Xenopus tropicalis: one gene and its partner. The protein of the gene in region 2 purifies or fractionates together with the protein of the main gene of each other region. This does not show direct contact. Links are inferred from orthologs where the notes say so. Each region holds a gene or a part of one and is shown on either strand. Other genes may lie near its edges.

Region 1 (15,497 bases), on a different chromosome or scaffold from region 2:
GGAGAGATGGTGCCTATAGTAGCAGTGGGGGGATAATAGCCTCTGGGAAGGGACTGGGGCTGTGGGATAGCAGGTATAGTAGGGAGAGATGGTGCCTATAGTAGCAGTGGGATAATAGCCTCTGGGAAGGGACTGTGGCTGTGGGATAGCAGGTATAGTAGGGAGAGATGGTGCCTATAGTAGCAGGGGGGGGATAATAGCCTCTGGGAAGGGACTGGGGCTGTGGGATAGCTGGTATAGTAGGGAGAGATGGTGCCTATAGTAGCAGGGGGGGGATAATAGCCTCTGGGAAGGGACTGGGGCTGTGGGATAGCTGGTATAGTAGGGAGAGATGGTGCCTATAGTAGCAATGGGGGGATAATAGAGTGGGGCTGGGGTGGGCGGGGCCCAGGGGGCCCTGAAATTTTTGCCGTACGGTGGCAGCCCTACAGGAAGATGATCACATTTTTCAGTGAGCCCTGGCTACCCCCGTGTAACACTGTACAGCGCTGCGGAATATGTTGGCGCTTTATAAATAAATGTTAATAAAAAGAATAATAATAATACAGGGTATTTCTGTGATTCTTCATTTAGGAAGTGCTTCCTATTAAAGATGGAGAAGAGCTTGTCAGAGGTAAAATGGTGGATAGAAAGTCTGGAGTGATTAAGGAGAATGGTTATAAATTGCAATACTTGATAGCTCTTTCTATAAAATAACATTATTGTGGGCAGGTCCCATTAAACTCAGGGATTCCCGGTGTCAGTGGCCCTGTGCCCTGGGGTACAGACTGAATTCACAGTTGGGGGGGTTGTTGCCCTTGGCTGACAGATCTATAAAACTGGCAGGTGGAACTAAACTGACAGACATGTTCATACATGGAAGTTTGTCTTTCCAATAGAAAGGGTCCTGTTTCCCACCAGAAACATGGCTGACCCCCCGAGTAACCTGATTCATTCCCTGTGCTTTCGGCGGCACTCGGCTTCGGATTACATTGGCGTTGACGGATTTCTTCGCAGTCAGGCCCCCCTTTAAACTTAAAATACACCAGCTCGGGAGGACTGTCCCCCCTGATGGGGCCCTGTCTTCCCGTTTGACAGATCCACTGCTGGGTACTTTATACTGGGTCATTTGAGTTATAATTCTTGGCTGAATTGTACAAAGCTTCAATAAACTACTGTACAGCGCTGCGTACATAAGTAGCGCTTTATAAATAAAAATATACATACATACATAAACTAACCAAGCAGATTGTTCTATAAGTATCTGGGACTGCAAGCAGTTAAATCCGTTTTATATGGGTGCAAGTGCATCAGACATGCCCAAGAGAGTCCAGTGCTGCCCCCTAGCTTTTATGAAGACTCACAGCAGAGATCTGCCACAGCAGCTTTTGTACATAACGCCACCAAGGTTTCCAATTCCTATCCTGAAGTGACATCTGGTGGTAGAATCCAACATATCCAAGAAAAAGAACTGGTAAAAAACCTGGGGAAGGAGAAAATAGAAACAACCCTGGGCAAACACTTTTTTGAATGTGGTCATCAGATTTCACAACTTAGATGGCAAATATTGGAACAAATGAAAGTAAGGGAGGGACAGGGTACAAAGAGAATTTTATTACAAAATGAATGTTATTGGATTTGGGCCCTAAAAACAAAACATCCTAGAGGTCTAAATTAGGATTTTACTATGTCTTGCTTTTTATGATATTGTGGGGGTATTAGGGTTATTGTTAATTATGTATTTTTTTCTGCAGATATAAAATATAAATTGTGGTTGGTTCAGGGTTGGTTTGTTTTGCAACAAATGTTCCCTTTAGACCGTAGCGATGCTTCTATTACTGGTATCATTTTATAAGGTTTATTTATTTTTTGCTAATATTACTATGTAACTATAACGAGTTCTTTTGGTGTTAATCTTCTTGAGTTATTTTGGTAGGTTCTGTATATATGGGCTTATTCTTCAGATGTTTATATAAAACATTTATTGGAATTATGTTTACTTCATGGACTTTTTGTACACGGACCATTGCCTTCTCTTATTATAAGAATTGCCACTATGATTTTTGTCTCTGTATTTTTAAATGTTAAATATGCTAATTGTACAATTATGTATGTTGATTAATTGTGGGTTTATTTAATCACTTTCATTGCACTGGTTTGTATGCCTGCCGAAGGGGTACACCCCCCGAAATGTTGCTGCTATACTTTGATGAAACACGCAGGGGCTAAGCCCCACTTGCATCACACTTATTGTGCCGGTCAGTTTTCTGCTAGAATCTATCAATGAACACTAATGGAGAACTCCACCCAAACACAAACTGTGGAGAAGTTGTTACAATGTGTAACATCAATGTTTTAGCCCCTCCTCCCCTGTCAGGAGTTTAAATGATGCAAAAAGCGAACTGTCTTGCAGCTGGATTTCAGTATATAAAAATGGTATTTATTTCTACTTTTTGAAGGAACAGATTACATTACATTAACATTTATTTATAAAGCGCCAACATATCCCGCAGCGCTGTACAATAAGTGGGTTACATACATTGGGCATACAGAGTAACATATAAAGCAATCAATAACCGATACAGGAGGGGAAGAGAGCCCTGCCCAAAAGAGCTTACACTCTACAAGGAGACATACAGAGTAACATATAAAGCAATCAATAACCGATACAAGAGGGGAAGAGAGCCCTGCCCAAAAGAGCTTACACTCTACATTATTATTATTATTAACATTTATTTATAAAGCGCCAACATATCCCGCAGCGCTGTACAATAAGTGGGTTACATACATTGGGCATACAGAGTAACATATAAAGCAACCAATAACCGATACAAGAGGTGAAGAGAGCCCTGCCCAAAAGAGCTTACACTCTACATTATTATTATTATTAACATTTATTTATAAAGCGCCAACATATCCCGCAGCGCTGTACAATAAGTGGGTTACATACATTGGGCATACAGAGTAACATATAAAGAAATCAATAACCGATATAAGAGGTGAAGAGGGCCCTGCCCAAAAGAGCTTACACTCTACATTATTATTATTATTAACATTTATTTATAAAGCGCCAACATACCCCACAGCGCTGTACAATAAGTGGGTTCCATACATTGGACATACAGAGTAACATATAAAGCAATCAGTAACCGATACAAGAGGTGAAGAGGGCCCTGCCCAAAAGAGCTTACATGTTATTATGCTTTATGTAGCGCCAGCGTCGGACTGGGCCGCCGGGATACCAGGAAAAAACCCGGTGGGCCCCGGCGGCCCAGATCCAATCCGGTAAGTTTCTTTTAGGAGCGGTCGGGGGAGGAGGTCGGAGGGTGTTGGGGGTGGGGGCCTTAGCGGGGGGGTATGTGTAAAGGCGGAGGGGATCATTGGGGGGTGTAGGGGCCCCTGAGGCAGAAGCCCCGGTGGGCCCTGCACCCCCCAGTCCGACCCTGTGTAGCCCTAACCTGTTACACAGCGCTTTACAGTGACTGTTTATAATTTATATCAGCCTCTGTCCCCAAAGAGCTTACAGTCTACTAGTCATATTGACACAGGCTGGGGTTCATTTTTTATCAGTAGCCAACTAACGTGCCAGGTAGACTGGTGCTCAGGTCAGATCTGTACTCAGGAACATACCGTCGGCAGCAGAGCTAACCAATGAGCCATATTTTACAGGTGGTAAAGCAACAGACAGGTAAATGAAGATGTTCAGCAGAAAAGGCTGCAAGTCTGAGGCAGGTCTTAAAATGGAGGCGGGGCTTAATTACTCAGGTAATGACTGGAGCAGCAACACTGCCAAGAGATTTGACAATTTCTTTAGACTCTCATTTGATATGGTACCAACCAGAGTAAAGCTGATGTAATCACACTACTCAAAACAGTTTCAGATATGTAATTATCAGCCGGTAAGTCTGACATATGTAGTGGGCAAGTTGTTTGAAGGTTTGCTAAGGGATCACATTCAACATCTTTCCCGATGACACAAAAGAATCGCTTGAGATTAAAAGTAAGATGCTTTCATCAAGTGGTTGTAGATATATATGGCAGGTTCCAGAAAGGGTTGGCCAATTTGTATTAAGATATAGTGAAATTAACTTAGAATAAACTTGATCCAGTGATTGGTCCATTTATTCTTTTGGAGCAAGGAATATTTTTCTCTGTCTGACAGGGCCTGGAATTGGCTTTAGACTGGGTTTTCTCACCTTCTTCTGCAAATGCCCAACAGTATTGACACCTTCGCACTTTTTTCAACTATCCTACAAATTAAGTTGGCCGTACAATTGTATTGTGACTGGTAAAATGGTTGCCCCTTGGCCTACACCATATGAGAGGGCTCAAACCTGAAAGAAATGGTCTCATCCGTGAAATTTGGTGTAAGGTGGTTGGTTTTGGGGTAAATCCGGTGTCCCCAATTTACCCTAAGCTTACACAATTACATTCCCTGATTTGGCCCATTATGTGATTGGCTAGTGCAAAATAAGGTTGAAGTTCAGCAAAGCAGGTTTCCACAATTCCTCGTTTCACTATACAGAGCACAGGACTTTGTTATTCCATTCAGACATATCCTTTTAGATATAACGAAAACTGATCGACAAAACTATTGTAACCCTAGACATATTTGATAGCACTGAAATGAAATCAAGAACTTCCAATAGCCATGAATGAGCTCCTCCCATATCCGAGGGACGCCTTGTACAACTACATCTTTCATACTCTTACAGATTTAGATTCTACAACTTTGAGACTCAAATAAATGTACCAGTAGTCGCCTGCCCTCAGCCTGCCTCCTCCCAATCCCACAATCCCCTGCTGCACACGTGATGTCAATAAGGAAAGGTACATCACAGTGCCTCCTCCCAATCCCACAATCCCCTGCTGCACACGTGATGTCAATAAGGAAAGGTACATCACAGTGCCTCATCCCAATCCCACAATCCCCTGCTGCACACGTGTTGTCAATAAGGAAAGGTACATCACAGTGCCTCCTCCCAATCCCACAATCCCCTGCTGCACACGTGTTGTCAATAAGGAAAGGTACATCACAGTGCCTCATCCCAATCCCACAATCCCCTGCTGCACACATGTTGTCAATAAGGAAAGGTACATCCCAGTGCCTCATCCCAATCCCACAATCCCCTGCTGCACACGTGATGTCAATAAGGAAAGGTACATCCCAGTGCCTCATCCCAATCCCACAATCCCCTGCTGCACACGTGATGTCAATAAGGAAAGGTACATCACAGTGCCTCATCCCAATCCCACAATCCCCTGCTGCACACGTGATGTCAATAAGGAAAGGTACATCACAGTGCCTCATCCCAATCCCACAATCCCCTGCTGCACATGTTGTCAATAAGGAAAGGTACATCACAGTACAATGCATTGTGGGTTATGTAGTTCCTGTAAAATATGGAGAAGTTGTTACAACTTTCAACATCAGTGTTTTAGTCCCTCCTCCCCTGCCAGGATTTCAAATGATGCAGAAAGAGAAGAACTGTTTTGCAGCTGGATTTCATTTAATAAAAATGCCTTTTATTCATAGTTTTTCAAAGAACAGATTACAGTGCTATGGGGTGTCTGTGTTGTGTGAAACTCTGTAACAAGTTTGGGTACAGAAGCCGCAGTTCCCCTATGAAATGGAGATAACTAGTCAACAGCTTCCGCCCCAAGGCTACGTGCCCGCTTCTCTCACACACAATGGCGCCAACAGCCGACGGTTCAACCAATAAGAGCCTGAGCTCAAACCAACCCTTAGTTAGCCCCGCCAGTCTGGCTTCCCATTCGCTACTGCGCTTGACTCCTTAGCCCCGCCCATACGTGACCTCATCACGCTGGACGCGCAGGTACTTACTGCCCTTCCTGCTGGTGCCCTTAGTGTATGCCTGTGACGTACATCCGGCCTCATAGCCGCATTTCCGTAGCTGGGTAGAAGTGACATTGAGGAAGACGAACTCGAGGTGAGAGTGTGGCGGCCCCGGGCTCCGGGCTGGGGAGGCCGAGAGGGAAAGGGCAGTGGTGGGAGTAACATAGGACGGGATAAGTGTCGGTGTGAGGGGGCTGGGCTGGGGCGCAGCTTGTCTGAACGGATAAACGAGGTGCTTGGAAGGCGCGGTGATCCTGGGAGAAACCATTCCTTGGTGGGGGGGGGGCGATATGGTATATATATCCCACAACCTTCCTGCTAGGCTTCCCTTGCTGTCCAATTAGGTTACTGGTAGGGGCCCTCGGCCTAGTTATCGCCCATTGGTATTACAGGGGCTGCTGGGTACTGTAGTGAGGGTTGGCCCTACGTGCTGTCACTGTGCTACACCCACACTGCAGCCTTCTTGCATTCCAATTAAAGGGCAACACACCCTGCAACTCTAAGATATATTAATGCATTCGCAATGGAAAGCAGTATCTGGCTTTTTATACTCTCTGCACTGCTGGTTCTGACTCCCAGCTTCTGCTGATGATGAGACCTGTAACTGATGTCTGCTACATTGTTTCAGGAGTCAGAACCAGAGAACAGAAATGGGGTGGAAAAAAAAAATACTGACTAATGCCCAAGTTTAATATGTGTAATGCCCGGCAGCTGTGCCTCTTACATGGGACCCTCGGCCTCTGGGTAATTCTTCCGAGGGTTTGACTGGTTATTCCTTTGAAAAAAGTAGCAGGGTCAAAGTTTATATGGTGGTGTGGGTGGAATTGCCTATAAAGGTGGCAGTTGGTTCAGGTGACAGGTAGGTAGGTGCACGTTACTTGTGGCTATAGAACCAAAAGGGGGAATTAAATAAAGTTCAAATGGGAATTGTCTTCTAGAAAAGTTAGTTGTAAGTCAGACTTCCCCTTTATTGCCCTTACTGATAATCCCACTATGGGAAATGACAGTGGGTGTTTGTCACCTTGTAACTAGGTGACCTGTATGACCAGGCGTGAAACATACGTGTGCAGTTCATCCCCGTGTCTGGGTTTATAAGGGTTTGTTAAACTGTCACCTTTCCCACAGAAGCTTCTCGTCTTTTGTCGACTGGGAGGAAATTTATTCTGCAGTTTATTAGAACGGAGCCGCCCTGAGAAGTTTCGTCTGATTTAATAGACTGGGGAGGGAATTTGGGCTTCAAGGCTCTATCATTTATACCAAGTAGGGCTTTTTTACTTATGGTCCTTCCGCTGTTGTTCAACTGCAACTTGTAGACTTGTCTGATACTAATATAGCTCTTATCCCACTGCCAGACATCCTTCCCATAGGCTATAGGCACCATCTCTCCCTACTATACCTGCTATCCCACAGCCCCAGTCCCTTCCCAGAGGCTATTATCCCCCACTGCTACTATAGGCACCATCTCTCCCTACTATACCTGCTATCCCACAGCCCCAGTCCCTTCCCAGAGGCTATTATCCCCCACTGCTACTATAGGCACCATCTCTCCCTACTATACCTGCTATCCCACAGCCCCAGTCCCTTCCCAGAGGCTATTATCCCCCCACTGCTACTATAGGCACCATCTCTCCCTACTATACCTGCTATCCCACAGCCCCAGTCCCTTCCCAGAGGCTATTATCCCCCCACTGCTACTATAGGCACCATCTCTCCCTACTATACCTGCTATCCCACAGCCCCAGTCCCTTCCCAGAGGCTATTATCCCCCACTGCTACTATAGGCACCATCTCTCCCTACTATACCTGCTATCCCACAGCCCCAGTCCCTTCCCAGAGGCTATTATCCCCCCATTGCTACTATAGGCACCATCTCTCCCTACTATACCTGCTATCCCACAGCCCCAGTCCCTTCCCAGAGGCTATTATCCCCCCACTGCTACTATAGGCACCATCTCTCCCTACTATACCTGCTATCCCACAGCCCCAGTCCCTTCCCAGAGGCTATTATCCCCCCGCTGCTACTATAGGCACCATCTCTCCCTACTATACCTGCTATCCCACAGCCCCAGTCCCTTCCCAGAGGTTATTATCCCCCCACTGCTACTATAGGCACCATCTCTCCCTACTATACCTGCTGTCCCACAGCCACAGTCCCTTCCCAGAGGCTATTATCCCCCCACTGCTACTATAGGCACCATCTCTCCCTACTATACCTGCTATCCCACAGCCCCAGTCCCTTCCCAGAGGCTATTATCCCCCCACTGCTACTATAGGCACCATCTCTCCCTACTATACCTGCTATCCCACAGCCCCAGTCCCTTCTCAGAGGCTATTATCCCCCCACTGCTACTATAGGCATCATCTCTCCCTACTATACCTGCTATCCCACAGCCCCAGTCCCTTCTCAGAGGCTATTATCCCCCCACTGCTACTATAGGCACCGTCTCTCCCTACTATACCTGCTATCCCACAGCCCCAGTCCCTTTCCAGAGGCTATTATCCCCCCACTGCTACTATAGGCACCATCTCTCCCTACTATACCTGCTATCCCACAGCCCCAGTCCCTTCCAGAGGCTATTATCCCCCCACTGCTACTATAGGCATCATCTCTCCCTACTATACCTGCTATCCCACAGCCCCAGTCCCTTCCAGAGGCTATTATCCCCCCACTGCTACTATAGGCATCATCTCTCCCTACTATACCTGCTATCCCACAGCCCCAGTCCCTTCTCAGAGGCTATTATCCCCCCACTGCTACTATAGGCACCATCTGTCCCTACTATACCTGCTATCCCACAGCCCCAAGCCCTTCTCAGAGGCTATTATCCCCCCACTGCTACTATAGGCACCATCTGTCCCTACTATACCTGCTATCCCACAGCCCCAGTCCCTTCCCAGAGGCTATTATCCCCCCACTGCTACTATAGGCACCATCTCTCCCTACTATACCTGCTATCCCACAGCCCCAGTCCCCTTCCCAGAGGCTATTATCCCCCCACTGCTACTATAGGCACCATCTCTCCCTACTATACCTGCTATCCCACAGCCCCAGTCCCCTTCCCAGAGGCTATTATCCCCCCACTGCTACTATAGGCACCATCTCTCCCTACTATACCTGCTATCCCACAGCCCCAGTCCCCTTCCCAGAGGCTATTATCCCACTGCTACTATAGGCACCATCTCTCCCTACTATACCTGCTATCCCACAGCCCCAGTCCCTTCCCAGAGGCTATTATCCCACTGCTACTATAGGTACCATCTCTCCCTACTATACCTGCTAACCCACAGCCCCAGTCCCTTCCCAGAGGCTATTATCCCACTGCTACTATAGGTACCATCTCTCCCTACTATACCTGCTATCCCACAGCCCCAGTCCCTTCCCAGAGGCTATTATCCCCCCCCTGCTACTATAGGCACCATCTCTCCCTACTATACCTGCTATCCCACAGCCCCAGTCCCTTCCCAGAGGCTATTATCCCCCCCACTGCTACTATAGGCATCATCTCTCCCTACTATACCTGCTATCCCACAGCCCCAGTCCCCTTCCCAGAGGCTATTATCCCACTGCTACTATAGGCACCATCTCTCCCTACTATACCTGCTATCCCACAGCCCCAGTCCCTTCCCAGAGGCTATTATACCCCCACTGCTACTATAGGCATCATCTCTCCCTACTATACCTGCTATCCCACAGCCCCAGTCCCTTCCAGAGGCTATTATCCCACTGCTACTATAGGCACCATCTCTCCCTACTATACCTGCTATCCCACAGCCCCAGTCCCTTCCCAGAGGCTATTATCCCCCACTGCTACTATAGGCACCATCTCTCCCTACTATGCCTGCTATCCCACAGCCCCAGTCCCTTCCCAGAGGCTATTATACCCCCACTGCTACTATAGGCACCATCTCTCCCTACTATACCTGCTATCCCACAGCCCCAGTCCCTTCCCAGAGGCTATTATACCCCCACTGCTACTATAGGCACCATCTCTCCCTACTATACCTGCTATCCCACAGCCCCAGTCCCTTCCCAGAGGCTATTATCCCCCCACTGCTACTATAGGCACCATCTCTCCCTACTATACCTGCTATCCCACAGCCCCAGTCCCTTCCCAGAGGCTATTATACCCCCACTGCTACTATAGGCACCATCTCTCCCTACTATACCTGCTATCCCACAGCCCCAGTCCCTTCCCAGAGGCTATTATCCCCCCACTGCTACTATAGGCACCATCTCTCCCTACTATACCTGCTATCCCACAGCCCCAGTCCCTTCCCAGAGGCTATTATCCTCCCACTGCTACTATAGGCACCATCTCTCCCTACTCCTTTCATTATGCAAAACATTTGTTTTTGGGCGGAGTTCCCCTTGAAGTTGGCTGCAGATTGCTATACTGACAGATAATGAAATGAGACTTTGGTTCTGAAGCCTGATTCGCTGGTTATCCCAGTTATTATCTGACTATGAAAAGGCTTATTACCATGTTCTGACTCCTGCTCTGTTCTCTTTTTGCAGGCAAAATGGAAGATGAAATCCGCACTAAGATTGAAAACTTCAGAACCGCTCCTTTCGATGCTCGATTCCCCAATCAGAATCAGACCAAACACTGCTACACCAATTACCTTGGTAAGGCGTGTAGCTCCTCCCCTTCTACATTGCGGCGTTCATGCTTCGCTCTTTGTGACTGAGCTTCAGTGCGGAGATTCTAACACACAAATTACGTACAAATGCGTCGCATCTGAAACGCTCCATTGTGGGTTAAAGGAGATTGAAGCTCAAAAGATACATCTATGTCACTGTATTTTTTTCAGACTAATGGTGGGCATACACTGTAAGATCCACTCATTTGGTGAGGTTGGTAAGCAAGCGGATCTTCTCCTGATTTGCCCACCTATGGGTAGGCGATATTGGGCTAATTTGATTGATTGACCCTAGGGCCAAACGATTGAATTAAAAAGGCTGGCATAGGTGCCGGCGGTTTGGGGGCTTCATCTCCGATCAGACGGGAAAAAATCAAACCCACCCGATCAAGATCTGGGCAGTTTCAGGCCAGATGTCGGACGGGCAGTTCCATCGCTGGTGCCCATACACGGGCAGATACGCTGCCAAATTGGACCGATATGACCAGCTACAATCGTACCTTAAAGAAACAGTAACACATAAAAAATGTAATACCTTATTCGCCACAAAACATCTCTAATAATAGACCTAGCCTTTCCCCCTTGCTTTTCTTTAAACGCTTCATGTTGAATTTTAGTTAGACTGCTGTAATAATATTATATAACATTACTATTATATAATAACAGACCTAACCTTTCCCCCCTTGCCTTTCTTTAAATGCTTCTTGTAGAATTTTAGTTACAGACTGCTCCATAGCAGCACGGCGAAAAGGCAACGGGTGCTTGACTCCTTGTGTGCCCTGACCCGGAAGGACCTTCGGCACTTAAGCTTCTTATCAGCACCTTTAATTTAAATTTATGATTGCAACATTACCCCCCCCAAACTGTCTGAAGAAATAGAAACATAGATTTAAGCTACATGTGCCTTTTCCCCGTGCTGCTATGGAGCAGTCTGTAACTAAAAATTCTACATAAGCATTTAAACAAGGCAAGGGGGGAAAGGCTAGGTCTGTTAGTATATAATAGACCTATTACATAACATATTATTAAAGCCTCATTACATCATATTCACATTGATTTTACTTCTCGCAAAGCCCAGTACAATCGCCCGTTGTCCTGCAGTAAAACCACCCCTACCCTGTGCCAATAAAGTCTCCTCCGTTTCCCCATAGCAGTGTAGTGGCCTGACAATCCCATGCTGCATAGCTGCTTTAACGGGCAGGTTTGACAAATGAATCTCCCTGTGCCGTTTCATTTCCAGATGAAGGAATATTAAAGAAGCACGGTTTTCCCTTGAGATCCTGCTGTTTGGATCACTCATGTTAATGTGGGCCTGTCACCCTTTGTTTTTCAGATTATCATCGCTGCGTGAAGGCTAAGACCGCCAAAGGACAAGATTCATTTGTCTGCGACTGGTACAAGCGTGTTTATAGGGCAATGTGCCCCCTGAAATGGGTATGCCACTTTGTATTCATTCATTACTTGATGTTTCCTGCCTGCACCCTTTTAAGATTTATTTTTTTAGATTACTGGCCACATGGGGTGTAAAGCAGGGGCGGGCCAATCTGACCGGGCGCCATAGGCAACCTGGTCGTCTACCGCCAGCTCCTACCTGGCGCCCCCCAATCATTACGCCATAGGCAGCTGCCTCTCCTGCCTACCCCTAGTTTCCGGCCCTGGCGTCAAGCTGTCTTTGGGCGCATTATTTATAAAGCACCAACATATTCCACAGCTCTGTACAATTAGTGGGTTTCATACATTGGACATACAGAGTAACATATAAAGCAATCAATAACCGATATAGGAGGTGAAGAGAGCCCTGCCCAAAAGAACTTACAATCTACAACCCTTCAGAAGGGAAACAGAGAAGGGTTCTGATGTTGCTCTGGTCAGGGAAGAGACAGGAAAGGGCATCTGAGGCTTCTGATCTCTATCCTGAGCTGAGCAACAAAACTTCTGTTTTCCATCTGGATTGTAAGCTCTATGGGGCAGGGACCTCCATCCTCTTGTCTCTTTGATTCTTAACTTATTGCAACGGTACCTTGTATTTATTGTTATACTTTGTATTTATCTATTGTAATAACCGCCTGTAGTATTCTCTTCTACTGTACAGCGCTGGGTACATAAGTAGCACTTTATAAATAAAGACATACATACATCTCTCTGACTGTACAGTTACCAAAAGTGACCAGCAGGTGGAGCTGTTTTTTTACAAAAGTGATTATATTGGCAGCTAATAAAAACTTAAATACTAGTGCAAAAGTGCTTAGAAAAGCATCCTTTTTTTGTGCTTTACTTGTGCTTAAAGCACAATTCAATAACTACCATGCATTATTTAAAACTGCAAAAATAGTTGTTTGTACAGCCAGAATATAATATGAAATGCATTTGCTCCATGCAGTTGAGATGTTTGCTGCAGACTGCATTGGTTTCCATGCCAGCATGTATTCACTGTGGGCTGAATGGACAGATGGTGTGTAATTGGAGCCATAATCGTTATAGGCTCTGTTCCTTCATGCTGCCAGAAAGTGAAGTGTGCCTGCTGCTACGCTCTATTTCCTCCGTCGCTACATTGGCCGACACCAGAGGTGGGGCTGCCGTAATAACTGTGTTCATTTCTATTGTGTTTTTTTTCTAGGTGGAAAAATGGGACGAGCAGAGAGAGTGCGGCACGTTCCCAGGCAAAATCTAAGCTATAGACCGGCTTCCGCCGCTCGGTACAGGAGTATCGCCAATGCTTGAACGTGTATCAGTCCAATGATTACTGTTTGTATCTGTCACTGAGTGAAGAGCAAGTGGTAGAATTCCTTTATATGTTAATAAAACCTTCTGACACTTATGTCTCTTATCTGTTCTCTTGGTGCTTGTGTGTAAGCGACACCACCAAGCCAACACGGGGTTAATAGTGTGTATTTTAGGGCCTGATGTCTCGGGAAGGGCGCTTTGTTTCCATGAAATATTGTATGTCGTTGGTGTGGAGCACCAGAAATGGCTTCTTTGGGTGCTGGATGAACAGTTGGGTGTATTATCAGGCATCTGTAGGCCAGAAAATGCAGTGAATTCAACAATACAAAGTGCCTCCCCCCCCCCCAGGCGCTTCTACATTAGGAATGTTTAGGGTTCGCCCAAACCCAGCTTTCTCCATCAGACTTCCAGCCCAACCTTGTTTTTTTTACTTGATCCCCATTCTACTTGTTGGTAGGGCCACAGCTCAGGTGATCAGGGAGCTAATTATTACTTAGTTGTATAAGGGCCCCATTATTTCTGTGATGGTGGCTCTGTGTCCCCTACAAAGCATATAAAAAAAAAATGTGTAAATCTACCCAAGTATTTCCTTCCACAACTGGCAATAATTGTGAATTACTTTTGATTAGTTTGGCAAATATTTGTGCCTGCTCCCCTAAACCCCCCACCACTGTGCTTACAGCTGGAGCCAGGCCCCTCTGACTCCCCTCTGTCCTACTCGGCATCACCCAACACTGTTAAGCACCCTCCCTGGCCTTTAAATCCAACAGCCATTCTTAGTGTCCTACAGCCAGTGAGTGGGGTATTTAAGTGTTTCTCACCCCCTTGTTCCTTTATGTGGGGTCACTTGTGCATTTGTGTTGATATCCTATGATGTTACAACATGTGTGTGAGTTACAGTTCAGAAACCTCTGGCAGGGGTGTCCCTGCTGTCTGTTGCTGGGGGCTGCCAGGGTGCAAGAGACCAAATAGCTAACAACCCTAAGAAATAATTCAAAATTCTTTTCCATTGTGTTTGTTAAGCAAAATAACCTTTCGCTTACACTATATATGTAACAAATCTTGTTTCCTTCAGTCCTGGAATTACACAGTCACAGCAAGCAGGCAGGCGCCATTTTGTGGATCTGGTTATTAAGGCAAGTTTTGTATCACCCCAAAATATTGTGTATGTGCCAGTATGGGGGGGAAGATGCCCATGCATTGGTTACACAATTAGATGGTTAGGAGGGAGGGGGAAAGTGAGAGCTGAATTGAAATTCAAAGTACTTGTCTGCCTATGGCATAGAGGTGGGGCAGGCAATATTGATTGACAGCTGGGATTTTTAAATGGGTTTGGATGTGTTAATAGAGAAATGAATTTGGGTTTCTTGTTTAAATTGAAAAGTTATTTTATTATACAGCTTTTTATGTCTGGGTGACAGTTTAACTTTAAGGCCCTGCTTGCAGTTTTGTAATTTGACCACAAGATGTCACCCTTGGCTCACAGAATGGTGTACAGCTGAAGATTCTATAGGGGAATCACTAATGGAAATCTGTCAAATGAATTCTGACTAAACCACCTCTCTAAATTCTTGCTTTTAAACCTAAAGATTGTTTTATAGAACATTTTACCCCACCATTTAAAAATGCTTTTTCTAGTTACCCCCCTTTCAGTAGCTGTATAGGGGGCATATTGGCAGCCTATTGGCAAGGTACAGCCCCACTCTGTCTCATTATAGCACAGCAATAGGTGCACAAAGCCTTATTTATTTATATCACTTTATATATAAATATAGCTTATTGTTAACGTAACATGTTTTATGTCATATTTGTGTTAATTTGATTCGTTTTGCTTAATGAATGAGGCAATATTAGCATTTTGAGTGAATATATTAATTATATAAATCTTTAAAGGGAAAGTAAAGCCTCACTGACACTTGTGCAGACTTACCTGTGCCCCAAAGCAGGCCCAGAACTACAGAGATGCTCACAGTGTTGGCTGCCACTTTTAGCTGTGCTGCTTGTGTTCGTGCAAACAGCTAATGTTCCTAGTTGAGCTCCGTTGTGGGAATTGAAGTCACGTGACCAAAGATGGAGGTGTGGCTCTGCATTCCTGAATGTGTAATGGGCCACAGTTAATTTGGGGCAAGTGTACAGGTACAGCTGAGAGTCACCTGATGGCAGACTGACGATTAGGAGGAGGAGCTAAAGCCACAATCATTAGTACAAGGCACAGGTACAGCTGAGAGTCACCTGATGGCTGACTGACAGGATTAGGAGGAGGAGCTAAAGGCACAATCATTAGTACAAGGCACAG
Region 2 (15,502 bases):
GTTTCACACCTGCGGGGGATAAGCAAACAGAAAGGGAACTTTTGCTGAGTAATAAGTGGAATAAATCCGGAGTCCCTTGGCCTCAATGCCTTCTGGCTGCAACTGCAAGGATTTCATTGTACAACGTTCCCTCGCATTGGGGGATTTGGGGAACAAAGCTACGTTTAGGGGAAGATCTGCCTGAAATTGTTAGTGCTTCCTGTCGGCTCTAGCAGGACTTGTTCCATTATATAAAGTGGAAAATGAGGTGCATCTGTCAGCGCCTGTGCGCCATGCTGCACGATTAACACATTTCTGTTTGTGTCCTAAGGAATCTTTCTGGCTCTCAGGGGAGGTATATGTAACGGGGTTCCTGGCCGCCTCCACAGAATGAGCACATCATTCCTTACAAGACACGGTGTATGAGCGGCCGGCCTCATCCTCTGCTATTGTAGGTGGAGATGTGCAGAGAAGACGGATGAGAAGCAGATGACTCCAGAGTGGGCCACTAAGACCCATCCATTAGAAAGGATTACACAGCCATAGGGAAACCATAGGGAAAGCACGGAGAGAATCAACAGGTTCTTTATTGACCTTTGTGGGAAGCACCTGCTTTTGTCGTGGGGTCCTGAGTTTAAACAGGGATTAAATCTGAGCAGGACCTCAGTTGTGGAGCCTCTGACTGCACCCAAGGGCCTGTGAGGATGAGAAGGCGCCCGATGGCTTTAGCCTGCAAGGAAGAATGGGTTTTCCTTGGAAACTCAGCCCATACAAACACACCGAAGCCAACACTCTTCTGCTTTATTGCGCCCCAAGGAACCACATGAGAAGCCATCAAACATCTTATTTAATCACCCAGTCCTTAGTAAACAGATCATGAGGTAACGTGTCCATAGCGGACGATTAAACGCAGGTGATCTATAGTTATTAAACAAGAGTCAGTATATTTGTTTCAGTGCTTTGGGACTGTAGCCAATCACGTTGCACCAGATTAACACCCATTTTATTGTGACATTGTCCATAGCAAACAGGAATAAAACCAACAAATTTTTATCCAACTGACCATACCGACGCTTTCACATGGTTCCCAGGGACAACATTAGAGGTTGTTAGGTGGTTGTGGACATTTTGACACTGTATTAAACCACAAATCAGGTCTAGTGACTGTCTATGGCATCTTACAGCAGCCCCTCTGGCATTTGCCAGAACCCACAGATTACTGGTCCAGGCTTGCCGCTAATGGCTACCATAAGGATTCTCACACTGTGGTGTGTATTAGCAGGTTTGAGGTGCATCTCACACAGAGCCAGAATATTATACAGGTATGGGACCTGTTCCAGAATGCTTGGGACCTGTGGTTTTCCGGATAAGGGATGTTTCTGCAATTTGGATCTCCATATTCAGTCTGCTAAAAATCATTTAAATATTAAATAAACCCAATAGGGCTGTTCTGCCCCCAATAAGGGGTAATTATATCTTAGTTGGGATCAAGTACAGGTACTGTTTTATTATTACAGAGAAAAGGGAATCATTTAACCATTAAATAAACCCAATAGGGCTGTTCTGCCTCCAATAAGGGGTAATTATATCTTAGTTGGGATCAAGTACAGGTACTGTTTTATTATTACAGAGAAAAGGGAATCATTTAACCATTAAATAAACCCAATAGGGCTGTTCTGCCCCCAATAAGGGGTAATTATATCTTAGTTGGGATCAAGTACAGGTACTGTTTTATTATTACAGAGAAAAGGGAATGATTTAACCATTAAATAAACCCAATAGGACTGTTCTGCCCCCAATAAGGGGTAATTACATCTTAGTTGGGATCAAGTACAGGTACTGTTTTATTATTACAGAGAAAAGGGAATGATTTAACCATTAAATAAACCCAATAGGGCTGTTCTGCCCCCAATAAGGGGTAATTATATCTTAGTTGGGGTCAAGTACAGGTACTGTTTTATTATTACAGAGAAAAGGGAATCATTTTTAAAAAATTGAATTATTTGCTTATAATGGAGTCTATGGGAGATGGCCTTTCCGTAATTTGGAACTTTCTGGATAACGGGTTTCCGGATAAGGGTTCCCATACCTGTATATCTATGAACACCATAAAGCAAAATGTACCTGGATACCTGCCTCTTAAACATTCCCAAACCAGGGGTATAAGTGTGGAGCTGTAACAGTCCCTACACTTCTGGGAAGGTTCCGACTAGATGTAGGAACATGATTGGTGGGAGCTGTTTCTATTCAGCCACAAGAGTATTAGTTAGGTTGGGCACTGACGTTGGGGATCAGGCCCGACTCACAGTCAGGGTTCCTGTTCATCCCACAGAGGTTCAGTTGGGCCAGTCATAGTATTCCATTCCCATCTCAGCAAATCCATTCTATAAGTACCTCTCCTACTGCATGGGGGCATTATTCTGCTGAGACAGGGAAAGACCTTCCCCAAACAAAAGTAGGAAGCACAGAATTGCCAAGAATGTCTCCCCAAACCATAGAAACAGCTCCTCCTCAAGCAAACATCACAGTCAGCACAGTGCATTCAGGCAAGTAGAGTTATCCAGGCATTTGCCCAACTGTCAGACTAGATAGAAATATACCTTTGGCCAAAAAGTGTATTTTATCTACAGAGGCAACTTAAACATTTACTCATATTTATACACCTGTAGCAAATAATTCATATTTGGTGGTAATGATACATATTAGAGAGGCATTGCTGTTGTCATAGAGAGATAATTAGAAATTGCATAAAAATGGGTGTTTTGTAAATTTGGAATCTGAGAAAAGATGGCATCTAAGGAGGATGGTATCTAATGCCAGGATAAATGGACAGGCTAAAGGCATGCTTATCAGGCCTCCAACCTTTCACTGACACTCAGACCAGTACTGGATATGATGTGGTGCTTGGGATATGCTACGCTATAGTGGCTTGGTAGACCAGTATCCATTGCAAATAATTCCCTCTGCCATTTAAAATTTCTTGAACCAAAAAAATTATTTTTTAGCTGTAATATTGGTGTGTAGGCGCCATGTCAGTGCATTGTGCCTGAGTCTGAGCTTTCAGAAGGAGCCAGCGCTACACATTAGAACTGCTTTCAGCTAACCTATTGTTTCTCCTACTCAATGTACTGTCCATATGACCCAAGTCGCATAATATCGAAACACGGGTTCTCCAGCCTGGGTGCTATTCTGACTACCACTAGGTGGGGCATGTGAGCACATTTAGCAATGCAAATTATTTCTGAATTTGTTTTGATCTCGAATACTGAAAATTTCTCCAGCCCCCAGGAAACCTGCTTTTTGGAAGGGTAAGTGGGTCTGGGGTGTCAGAAATCATCGCCTCTCACTGTATTTAATGTATTTGGGGCTGAAGATCCCACTGCTTCTCCCTGTATTTAATGTATTTGTGCTGCTTCTGCCCCTCACAGTATAATGTATTTATGATCTGAAGTTATTGTTCATAGAAGTTAATATACTATTATTTACAAGTGCATACTCTGTGTACATCTTCTTTACTGTACAAACTAATTGAGGCTAATGGCACATGGGGCAGTTTTGCCTGTTTACCCACTCACTAAAGCTAATGCCACATGGGCAGATTCCCAGCCTGCAGATAAGCGCAGGTTAACAACCCCTTTAATGTGGCCTTACAACAGGTATCCTCAACCTTTTATACCCGTGAGCCACATTCAAATGGAAAAAGTGTTGGAGAGCAACACAAGCATGAAAAAAGGAGGTGCCAATGAGAGCTATTTGATGGCCCCTTTGTTGACTGGAAGCCTATAGAAGGCTCTGCTTGGCAATTACACTGGGTTTTATGCAACCAAAACTTGCCTACTAAACAGAAATTCAAAAATAAGCACCTGCTGTGAGGCCCCTGAGAGCAACATCCAAGGGGTTGGGGAGCAAAATGTTGTACCTGAGCCACTGGTTGGGGATCACTGCCTTACAGCATATGGCCACTCGTACAATATTCATCTGTTTATCCTGTGGGAAAGTTGGTTCAAGGTGCAATCTTCAGCGGATTGTCTGGAATTTATTTGTTTTTTCACCATAAAAGCGAAAACCTGCAACAGTAGGGTAAGTGTGCACAGGGAAGAGGGAGAGGAATGTGAAATAAACAAACCTCAAATGGATTTCATGAAATAAATTCAGTAAAATAGTTATCTTAACTGACTCAAAAAATAATTGGAATATAGTCAATGATTGAATCAAAATTTGTTCCCTAATATACATCAAAACAGTAAAGGTTATATATATGTACCCAGTATCGGGCTAGGCCCGGGTGTTCAAACCCCGAGCCCGACGCAAGGTTCAAAAAAGATCATTCAATAATATACGGACAAAGAAATCCAAGTAGCTCACCAAAAGCCGATGGTGGTCCGGGTGCTCAAGGCCCCGAACCCGCAGCTGAAAGGGAAAATTCTCCAAGGTTGAACGTGGGACATCCAGCACTCCGGACTCATGAAAACTGCTAAAATCCAAAGTTTATTCCTTCATGTTTAAAACAAATAAACGCCTGACGCGTTTCGTGCCCTTTAGGGCACTTAATCATAATCTCCTATGATTAAGTGCCCTAAAGGGCACGAAACGCGTCAGGTGTTTATTTGTTTTAAACATGAAGGAATAAACTTTGGATTTTAGCAGTTTTCATGAGTCCGGAGTGCTGGATGTCCCACGTTCAACCTCAGTGCGCACAGGCCCCACCTATACCGCTGAATCATAACTAAGAAACAAAGAATAATTACAATGTGTATATTTACTATTACACAGTGCTGTAATATTTCCTTCTTCATTTCAAACAAAGAATGGAATTTAATTATCTAAAAATACCAGAAAGGGAACTTGCTAATTGCATGACTTTGGAAGCTTACAGCAATCCCTCTTCCCAGAGCTCCATTCAGGCCAAGAATCAGAAATTTTGAAATAAAATTGCCAAGTTGCACACATAACACTGTGTTCTTCATGGTTCTGTGAGTGAGTTTTGAACTGTTAAGGTTTCCTCCACCACTTTCCATTTACACAAATGGCAAATTTGTTTTTTAGGGCACACATTTGTGCTGTTCTAGTGACACAACAAAGCAAAGGAGTATGGGAAAGACAGGGAATTCCCCCTTGAGATGATTAGAAAGGTAAAGCATTAGTCCCTTAGGGTCTACCGAAAAAGTTATGGTAATCAGACTGGCTCAGTTACTAAAACCACACAACTTTGCACTAGTCCAGCAACCCATGGCAACCAAATTTTTGCTTTCCTTACTCTAACTGCAGTTGGATGAACAAAGAAAATGAATGATCAGTTGCTATGGGCTACTGCCTAGGTGCAGATTTGCAGAGTGACCAATCACATAGACAGGATAGGAATACTGGACACCACTTTCCATCTCTGATCATTCAGATGGCCCATATGTATAGAACACCCAATATTTGTATGTGCCCAAACATACGTGAACCAGGAGACGACAAACTCCTGAACAAAAATAAAACTGCTTCCAAAAGTTGCCAGCCAGTTGGCTGTATGAGTGCAATTTGCTCAATGACGTGATTAGACAGATGATGTTCATTCCGAATGTTTATTTCTTGGCCAGCCCCACAAGTACAAAGGGACAGGCTCTGTTTCAATAGACAAGACATTTACATAAACTTTCCCAGAAAACAGCATTTGCACATCATTTCTTCATCCAGTCTTGTTTTTCTTTTCTTTCACGAATCACTTCCTTGAGGTATGGTTCCAGATAGTGAACATCCTACAAAAAAAAAAAAAAAAAAAATATGGCATTAAATTATTTCATTTAGATAAATATAATTGCTTTGGAAAAAATATTCCATTTGCAATAAATGTCCAGCACGGACAGAGTCTTTACAACAACATGTTGCTCACCAACCCCTTGGATGTTGCTCTCAGTGCCCCCAAACCAGGGAGTTATTTTTGAATTCCTGACCTGGGGCAAGTTTTGGTTGAATAAAAACAAGATTTCCTACCAAATAAAGCCCCTGTAAGTCGATAGGGTGCATAGAGGCTGCCTAATAGCCAATCACAGCCCTTATTTGGCTCCTCCATGAACTTTTATGGTGCTTGTGTTGCTCTCCAAGTCTCTCTACATTTGACTGTGGCTCAGCAATAGCACATGTACCATTATGTGGGATATTTTAAGTAATATGGAATGTACTATTACCTCTGGTGCAAAACATCACCCATGTCACAAGCACTTTGCACATTGAACTGGACCTGTAGTTTCCTCATTTACATTAAAGATAATTATGCTAAATACCTCTTCATATTTAATCCACTGTTGCTTTGGGAGGTGCTGCTGTCTAATGTTCAGGTCCAATGCCCTCTTGATTCGAAAGATTCTGTCATCATAAACTTTAGGTGGCAGCCTCCTTACTGCCTCTTTCACGTCATCATCTTCATAAATTGTGTCATCTCTCATTAAACCTGCCAAAGAAAATAAAAACACATGGTCACCACAGCGCCTGTATTCTGCCTACTGGCAACACTTGGGGCGCCCCAAACAGAATGGGACAGATTGAGAGGCAGCACTTTAGCTGAGGCTCTGACAAGCTGCATACTGGTGGCACTAAGGGTGTGGATTGGCTGGCCTCATACAGACCATAGAGCTTAGCTAGCAGCTTGGCAGGCTGACAAGGAACTGCAGTGTGCACATCTCTGTACAAGGGGAGAGCTGCGATTCGTTACCAACATTCTACTGGGCTTTGGGGAAGGATCACGAGGATGCACCCAATACTCATTTGTAACAGACAAGGATTATAGAGGAAATTTTGGGAGTTCCATTAATAGAATAGGGGTAGCTCACCAAAAAGTTCACTTTTATTATGTTATAGAATAGACTATTCTACTCATCTTTTTAATTGGCCAATATTTTTTATAGTTTTGGAATTATATAGCTTCTATGTAATAATAATAAGAAATATTCTGTCTCTTTCCAGCTTTTAAATGGTGGTCTCCCAAAAATATTATTGCTTTTAATGTTATTATTACTTTCTCTTACTTCTCTTTTTATCCAGGTTCTCTCCTATTCAAGCCAATGCCTGGTTGCTAGGGTATAATGGACCCTATAAACCAAGTAGCTGATAAAATTCCAAACAGGAGAGCTGCTGAACAAAAAGCTTAATTCAAAAACCATAACAAATTAAAAAAAAAATGAAGACCAACTGCCTCAAAATGTTCATACTAAATGTTAATTCAAAAGTAAACCACTCCTTTAAAGTAATAATCCTTTTTAGCCCCAAATTGCCTTTAAATTGTCAGCAGTTCCCCAGTTTTGCGATACCCTGAAAAGGTCACAAAAATGCAAGAATAACAATCTAGCTTCCCCGTGAATACACTTTCTTGCTGCCAGGGTGACTGTCTCTTTTTATCTGCAGCTTTCGATTTCAGTTGGACTAAGCCTATTGCAAATAAATAGTTAGGTGACCCGCTCCTTTTTTGGGAAGCGAATTTATCATTGCTGGTGTACCCGTATCCATTAACCTACCGAGTTTGTTGAATCCGGCAACATTATAGTACCATTTCCTCAAACCGTCAATGAGTCGGCCTGATGCGGCAACTGCAACATAAGGAAGTAAATGTATCAACAAAATGGAAAGATTATGTTCTGTTGTATTCATAATCAAAATAACATGGAAACAGAATTATGATCCATTTTACAAGCAAAGCAAATCACCAACAACCCATTATTCTTTACATGGGAAAAGCAAAATGAAGGAAAGTTCCAGAAATAACTGGTTTTGCTACAATATGTACACAGCCACTAATGCAGGGGTGGGCAAACTTTTAGGCTCAGGGGCCACATTGACTTTTAAAATTTGACAGACGTGCCGGGCCAGCGCTTACATGCAGTCTTGACGCCAAGTCTCGCGTGATGAGTCTGGACAAAGTGAGACACACCAATCCTCGGCGAGTCGAATTAAAAAGACCAATGGACCGGATGTGGCCGCGGGCCGTAGCTTGCCCACCCCTGCTCTAGGGCTGGGCGATATACTGTTTAATACCGAATACCGGTGTTTTTTTTTTTTTAAAACTATATTCATTTTTCAGATACCGCAATACCGGGGTGTCGGGGTACTCACCCGTGCGGTGTCCCGTTGTCCAGGTGCGCGTGCGTCAAAGCGTGCACATCCATGACGCGCTGACGGGTTCTGCGCATGCGCGGGGAGTATTTAAAGCTATCAAACGCCTCCTCCTGTGCTATGTTGTCTGCGGCCTTGCCTGAGAAACTAAGCCTGCCTAATTTACCTTACGACTTTCTCTTGCTGATCCTTCGCTTGCCTGACTCTGATTTTCAATACTGCAGTAATTATTCTCTAATTTATTAGGAAATGGGGTTAACACCTAATCATGCATGGAAAAAAAAAATACCGTCAAATACCGTGACACCGATATAATTTTGAAAAACACCGTGATATAAATTTTTGGTCATACTGCCCAGCTCTACCCTGCTCTAATGTCTATGTATTTTTTAGCCACAGAGACGATCATCCCAAGTACTAGTTCTCAAGACAATAGCAGTTTTAACTGTGTTAATGAACTTGAAACAACAGCGCCACCTATCAGATGTGGACAAAATTGCAATATAAATGTCAGTTTGAGTGAATGTGACCCACCAAGTTCATCAGAAGGGCAATTATTACCATGAGATGTAACGTTCACACAAAGGGGTATATTTATCATGCTGTGTAAGAAGTGGAGTAAAGCATTACCTGTGATGTTTCCCAGGGCAACCAATCAGCAATTAGATTTCAACAGTTAGAAAATCAAAGCAAAACATCTGATTGGCTGCTATGAGCAACATCACCGGTAATGTTTTACTCCACTTTTTACACAGCATGAGAAATATACCCCAAAGTCCCAGATCTCCCACAGCTTTCCCTGAGCCCCACTTACAGTAACACATGGGGCAAACCCTGGGAGCTGTTATTAAACACATTAGGGATAACTCCCAGGCAGGCAGCACAGCTGTCACTTTATCTGCTAGGCAGTGTGGGAGTCTCTCAGCAAGCCATGACCTCTGAGGAGCAGCCCAGCCCGGCAGGACCCGGCCATACAGGCGGCTCAGGGGCTAGGGGACGGGGTCACAGATAGGACACAGGCGGCATTTCCTCTCTCCATGTCACCCCCACACAATAAATAGGGTTCTGCCTCACAGGGCCCCAAATAATAGGGAACAAGTAACCCCAGACCCCAGAGGGGCCAGTGAAGGAGAAGCTGCCTCGACCTTACCTGGTGCCCGAGCAGCCATCTTTCCCAGTGAGAATGACGTCTGACGTAGAGTCGCGTACAAACGACGCGCAGCTTGAAGTACGGGCGGAAGTGTAACAGGAAGTAAGGGAAGGGCACGTCTTTGTCAATTGAACTTTATGAAAGTGGATGTTTTCGTAGTTATGGCAACTCTTATAGTTTTCGTCGCTTTTTGTAGAGGGGACACGAATTGCTTTTTAGTGTTACTATATTTCGGTGCACGTATCAAGTAGGTCCTACCTAGTGCCTCTAGTTGTTGGACGTCCCTGATTTATAGAATCCCTCCCTGTAACTATGTCAGCTTTACCACTTCTAATGTCTATATAGTTAATCCAAATGAGAGAAAGTATCAAAACTTTGCCATTTTTACTAGCTTCCCGCCCCCATAGAGATAGACTCACTGCAGCCCTTCATCAACCCTCTGACAGCTGGCTAAACTGAGAGCTGACGTTCAGCTGAGAGGAGCAGATTGGATATCCAATGCCTATGTCATTTACTAACTTATAAATGTATTATTATTGTTATTATTAACATTTATTTATAAAGCGCCAACATATTCCGCAGCGCTGTACAATAAGTGGGTTACATACATTGGACATACAGAGTAACATATAAAGCAATCAATAACCGATACAAGAGGTGAAGAGAGCCCTGCCCAAAAGAGCTTACAATCTACAAGGAGAAAGGGTTGAGACACAAGGTGTGGGAATGGGCATGACCAGAGTTGTGTTAGTATGTACCAGTCTGGCTTATGGTTCCTCCCAGAGTGATGTGTAACCCCTACTTGGCTGTATTTACAGACCAGACCAGCTAGATAGGCTTCAGAGCATGGGGGTACATAGGACTCTAAACATTCAAGATGGGCTTTCACTATGTGGAAATATCCAAGGGGTGTAGTGCAACTACCACTTACTTAGGCTGTGTGTAAAGTGAGTGAAAGAATAGGCACCAGAAGGTTCTTTTGCAGTAAAACAGAACTTGCCCCATGTGCCAACCAACAGGAGGCTGCTGTGCCTGTTTAGTGCATACTAAAGATTTATCTGAGCAGCATAGTTTCTCTTAGCAGAGTGAGAGTATCAGGTAGGAAATGTGTGGATGAGCACAAATGACAACAAGAATGTGGAGAATAGCTTCTGGAACAGCAGGGATTGCAGGGTAACTAGGTGGCACTTACACGTTCCATATGGGGCCTTTTGTTGGTTCTTGATACACAATTTCCAGCACCCACCACTGAGTCCTTTTTTTTTTTTTTTTTTTTTTTTAATTTCCCCTTACCCATCAATATGCAAACTAAATATTAACACTTGCCTGTAAAAGGTGCTACCTGCAAACTAAATAGGTAAGGGGAAGCCGAACTTCCTGTTTTGGAGACATTACATCACATTTTCCTGGATTTAAAATCCAATTTACACTAAAATTAGAGCTATTAACAAATGTATTAACTTGTTATTCCATTTTAGTATCTCCTAGAGCAGTGCTGTCCAACTTCTGTTGTACTGAGGGCCGGAATTTTTCCGACCTACGTGGTGGAGGGCCGATAATGGAAGCCAGTTTTGACTACTCCCCTTTTTGAAACCGCACCCACTTGAAACCACACCCATGTTATTACATGACCATACCCGTATTAATGGTTGTAGTACAGCAAAAACCTGCCATACTCTGCCTGCCCTACCCTGCCTGTGTGTGCCATACTCTGCCTTCCCTACCCTGCCTGTGTGTGCCATACTCTGCCTTTCCTACCCTGCCTGTGTGCCATACTTGGCTGGTTTGTGCCATACTTGGCCTGTGTGTGCCATACTCTGCCTGCCCTACCCTGCCTGTGTGTACCATACTCTGCCTTCCCTACCCTGCCTGCATGTGCCATACTTTCACTGTGTTTGCCATTCTTGGCTGGTTTGTGCCATACTTGGCCTGTGTGTGCCATACTCTGCCTTCCCTACGCTGCCTGTGTGTGCCATACTCTGCTTGCCCTATGATGCCTGTGTGTATGGCACACACAGGCAGCCTACAGTGACACAATGCTGGCACTGCTCCTACAGTCTGCACAATAACTATATATTAAAAAACTTTTTAATTGCAGTACCACCTCAGTATATGTTCCTTTTGTAGTGTGCAGGGATTATTTGTGGGTTTCTACTGCTCCTGAGGTGTGAACAGGGGAACAATGGGGGGTGATTACAGCCTGAGCCTGAGGTGTGAACACTGCAGGGGGTGAACAATGCAGAGATTAAAAGGTGTGAACAACACAGGGGATTACATATTTAAACAATACAGCCTGATTACAGCCTGAATCTGGAGGTGAGAACCATGCAGGGGGGGGCAGTTAATCACAGTACTGATACCATTTAAAGCTTACTCAAAGGTAAGCCATCAAAGCAGCCAGACAGGTGGGGGGCCACACAGAGGGGGGTCGCGGGCCGCCAGTTGGACAGCACTGTCCTAGAGACATGCCAGAGTTTTCAGTCTAAAAAGCACCTATACTGGCATTTCCCATTCATGTCAAAGGGAGCAGACAGCAGAGGATTGTTGTTGATTCTCAGCTGGCTAAAAGCACCCCCTGCGATAACCTCTGCTAAGCACCTACCCTCAGCAAAGGAACGTCCCAGACATAAAGGGGCAGATTTATTAAAATGTGCGTTTAGAGATTAATACATAAAAACTCCCCAATGTTCTATTCATTCCTATGGGATTTTCAGAAGCCTATTTATGAAATGTTGAGTTCTAATTTTCACCCACACTTCTAAAAATCCCATAGGAATGAATAGAACATTGGTGAGTTTTTATGTATTAATCTCTAAACTCACATTTTGATAAATCTGCCCCAAAATGTACTTTTACTCCGTGGCTTAGAAGTCAGATAAAATGGTGGTTATAAAGATAATACTGAGCTGGCTATAGTATGGGCATTGCATAATTATACACTAAGTGCCAGTATGGAGCTGTATCGAGGTTCTTGCTTGATACATACAACCACACATCTATCCAGGAGGACATTATTTATTCATACAAAGCAAAGAATCTTATATATTGTTCCGTTAATGTACAAATACATAAGGAGCTTTAGAAATATTATCTTCATATGTAACAATGCTACAGAACTGCCTATGACCAACATTTTCTTTTATGCGTAGAAACAGATTACATTGTAAATATATACATAAATATTCTCCATGCACACAAAGATATTCTATACAGGCGCCTAACTGCAGCATGGAAAACACAGCTCTCAGATGCTCGTTATTCACAGAGTTTTCAGGAACCGCTCGTAATCTTGCACCGACGCCTTGGCAACTTCCACACAGAAAATCTCATTGGGAGTTGATGTTAGTTTGTCTAAGGAGACATAGTTTGGCTTTGTGGGATCATATACAGCTCTGCCCAAAAATCCCAGGAACAGATGTCTCTCCTTCATTTTTAACAACTTTGTATTAAATACCTGCAGGGAAAATGAAACAAATTGGTTACTGGATATACCTGCACGATCCATGTTCTCACCTCTCTCGTTTCTCTAAGCGAAGTGTCTAAGCAACTTTTCAATATACAGGTTTTGAAGTTATCTGTAAATATAATCTTCTTTACCTTGCTATTCTCAACACTCACTGCTGGTTCTGACTATTGAAACAACGTGGCAGAAGTGACATCATTAGCAGATTAGTGAAAGGCACTGTGGGAATAGGGAGTCTTGGCTGGGGTTGTCTTCTGCTACACTTTTTTAAAACTCAGTACCAGCAGGGTAGGAAAGGAACAGACACATGACACATGTTACATTTACAAATTACTTTGAATCAATTGTAAAATTGTTTAATTAATACATTCTGAAGTCAAAATTAAGGTTTCTTGAATAAGGTCCACATGGAGGTTTTGGAGGCTTCCCTGAAATACTAGGTAAGGCGAGGTGTTACCTATGAGCTGGATAATATATATTAACAAGAAAAGCTCACAATACCTGTGGGAATTTAACAATAAGATGATGGGGGATTCCCATTATATTATGCACATAATCAAAGGTTTCCATTAATTTCTTCTTGTTCGCTGTTAATATTTTAGGGACTTTTATTGCAATGTGCTGGATCTCATTTTTTTTGAATCCCAGTTCAATTTCACATACCTAAAAAAAAAAAACCCAAAATAAAAAATAAGTATGTATTGTTATGATGAAACCATGCAAAACGAGAACCAGAACCTGTTTAGGGCAGGGCCCTTTTGACCTCTTGTATTAATTGTTTTCCTATATTGTCTGGAATGTTTAACGCATACACCCATTTATTATACAATGCTGCAAAATATGTTGGTGTTTTGTAAATACATATATTATTAATATTAATGAAAGTGATATAGCATTACTAGAATGACACACAGATAACTGGTATTTATACATAGGTTGAAAATAGGTAATAAACAGAAGGGGGCGCACTACTAAAAGTAAAATTAAAGCAATATTATTTTGTTGTACACCTATTATTTGTTGTACACCTCCCCCCTCCTTTTCTTGACACAAGCTCATTCAGCTGGTCTTATGTTAAAAAAAAAAAAAAAAAAAGAAAGACCTTATTCCACGGATTAAAAAAAACCCACAATAGTCTGTCTTGGTGCTTCCCACAGAGTCCCAAAAAGTGATCCAACCCACCCCCACCTTGTTCCATTGTGAAGTGATGGATTCTGGGACATGTTCCTCTGCTTTGTAGAGAATCTGTGTACCACCCAGTATGGAAAGCAAAGGTCTTTCATGAACTAGAAGCCATCACTTTAACAATGGAACAAGGTTTGGCTGCATTGCACTGTGAGCTTACGGGGGTGGGGCCCAAGCAAGCACAGAGAGACTATAATGGTTTCAATATGTGGAATCATGTAAGTTTGGGTCAAAAAAAATATGTATGTTTATAATTATATCTGAGAACGTTAGATCTGTCTATGCACCTTAGTGAGCTTATGTTCTATAATGGGAGGGGGGGGGGGGGGGGTCTTTCTCCAGCAGCAAACAGGCTTACCTTCAGATTCTCTCTTACAGGCTCAAGGCTTCCAGTTAGCAACCTCGGAAGGCGTATAATCAGGTCCCTTGTCTGTTGAAAGATACAATAATTTGGAAAAAAATTTAATTTTTATCACAGAATATATGCACACTGCAATGATCACAAAGCTCAGGCCCCCGGGCCTTTGCACTTCTTCAGTGAATGATACAGTACTATTGTAGGGATCCCTGTGCTGCCATCTTGCTTATAGTCTCTGCAATATATTACTGCTGCTTTGTGGTGGGAGCACACGCAATACGGCAAAGACTTTGGCTTTCAGTTTTGAAATCCTGATTTTGCTCTGTTGGGCATGGGCACTGCCAGGGCATCAGTAAGGATTGAAAGGACCCAAAGAAAGATGGCAGCAAAACGTTTCCTACAATAGTGCCCCAGGCCACTGGAGTTTTCAGCGAAGAGCAGCACCAGCCCAGGGGCTGAGGAGAGCAATTATAATCACTAGGGGGGTGCCTACCATATTGCCAATGAGCATTTACTTGTCTTTAAGCACAATCTGTGACATTGGATCAACAAACAGAAAGTGCATTTATGTGCATACACTTAAGGGCAATGTTCAAGGGACATTAAAATTCTGAGCAATCATATAAGAAACTGCACTGGTAACTCATTCCAGCATGGCAGTAAGTCATTCATGAAATGCACCAGAACTGTTATTAAATGGCCAGAAACTGATTTGTCCACCAATAATCTCATTGTCCACTTGCAGGAGCTGCTAGAGCAGAGTACATGGCTATATCCCAGGACACCAACATCACTGTCAGAGGATTTTGCTTAAAATGGCAAATAACACAATAAAATCCAAGGCCCCCCACATTCCTACCTTTTCTGTGCTTAGGCCCAGTTCCCTTTGGAAGAAGCCCAAGCGGTTATCCAGTCTTTCTATTGAGAAGTTCAGCAGATAAGGGGCTTTGGCGACCATTCGAGCGACTGCTTCCTTACTGAATTCCTTCAGCCTCAGGTACGAGACCCTGAAAAGTGGCGAGAAGAGCTTCACTCTAATGAAAGCAATTGCAGCATTTCTGGAAAGTATGGCCGCTAAAGCTTTCCCACACTACACTGAATAAGCAGGGGAACATTTTGCCTAATGAATGAAATTCTCCAATATACATTCATTTAATGTTTTCAACAGTTTTCGAGCTATTTGTAAATGTAATGTCTGTCACCCCATTTGGCTTTGCTCAATACATCAAAGGTGACTGCACACTCAAAGGCAAAACTGAAAAGTAGAAAAAGTTTA

What was found.
Region 1: the proteins of cytochrome b-c1 complex subunit 7 (region 2) and cox6b1 purify together in Homo sapiens (affinity purification with mass spectrometry; 3 studies listed by BioGRID and IntAct, counting the BioPlex papers as one, with this or other methods). This does not show direct contact. The link is inferred for Xenopus tropicalis from reciprocal best matches to the Homo sapiens genes UQCRB and COX6B1.

The regions. Positions count from the first base shown.
Region 1 is NC_030683.2:124,516,984-124,532,480, forward strand, and holds cox6b1 (cytochrome c oxidase subunit 6B1), read left to right. Parts: upstream 1-5,873; 5' UTR 5,874-5,930; intron 5,931-6,961; exon of another isoform or gene 6,962-7,096; intron 7,097-10,352; 5' UTR 10,353-10,357; coding exon 10,358-10,463; intron 10,464-11,810; coding exon 11,811-11,911; intron 11,912-13,094; coding exon 13,095-13,148; 3' UTR 13,149-13,292; downstream 13,293-15,497. UniProt on the Homo sapiens protein: Component of the cytochrome c oxidase, the last enzyme in the mitochondrial electron transport chain which drives oxidative phosphorylation.
Region 2 is NC_030682.2:130,040,269-130,055,770, reverse strand, and holds cytochrome b-c1 complex subunit 7, read right to left. Parts: upstream 9,327-15,502; 5' UTR 9,240-9,326; coding exon 9,221-9,239; intron 7,548-9,220; coding exon 7,476-7,547; intron 6,416-7,475; coding exon 6,249-6,415; intron 5,724-6,248; coding exon 5,646-5,723; 3' UTR 5,531-5,645; downstream 1-5,530. Other genes in the region: mterf3 (transcription termination factor 3, mitochondrial), read right to left, coding at 12,480-12,674, 13,185-13,346, 14,227-14,298, 15,086-15,233. UniProt on the Homo sapiens protein: Component of the ubiquinol-cytochrome c oxidoreductase, a multisubunit transmembrane complex that is part of the mitochondrial electron transport chain which drives oxidative phosphorylation.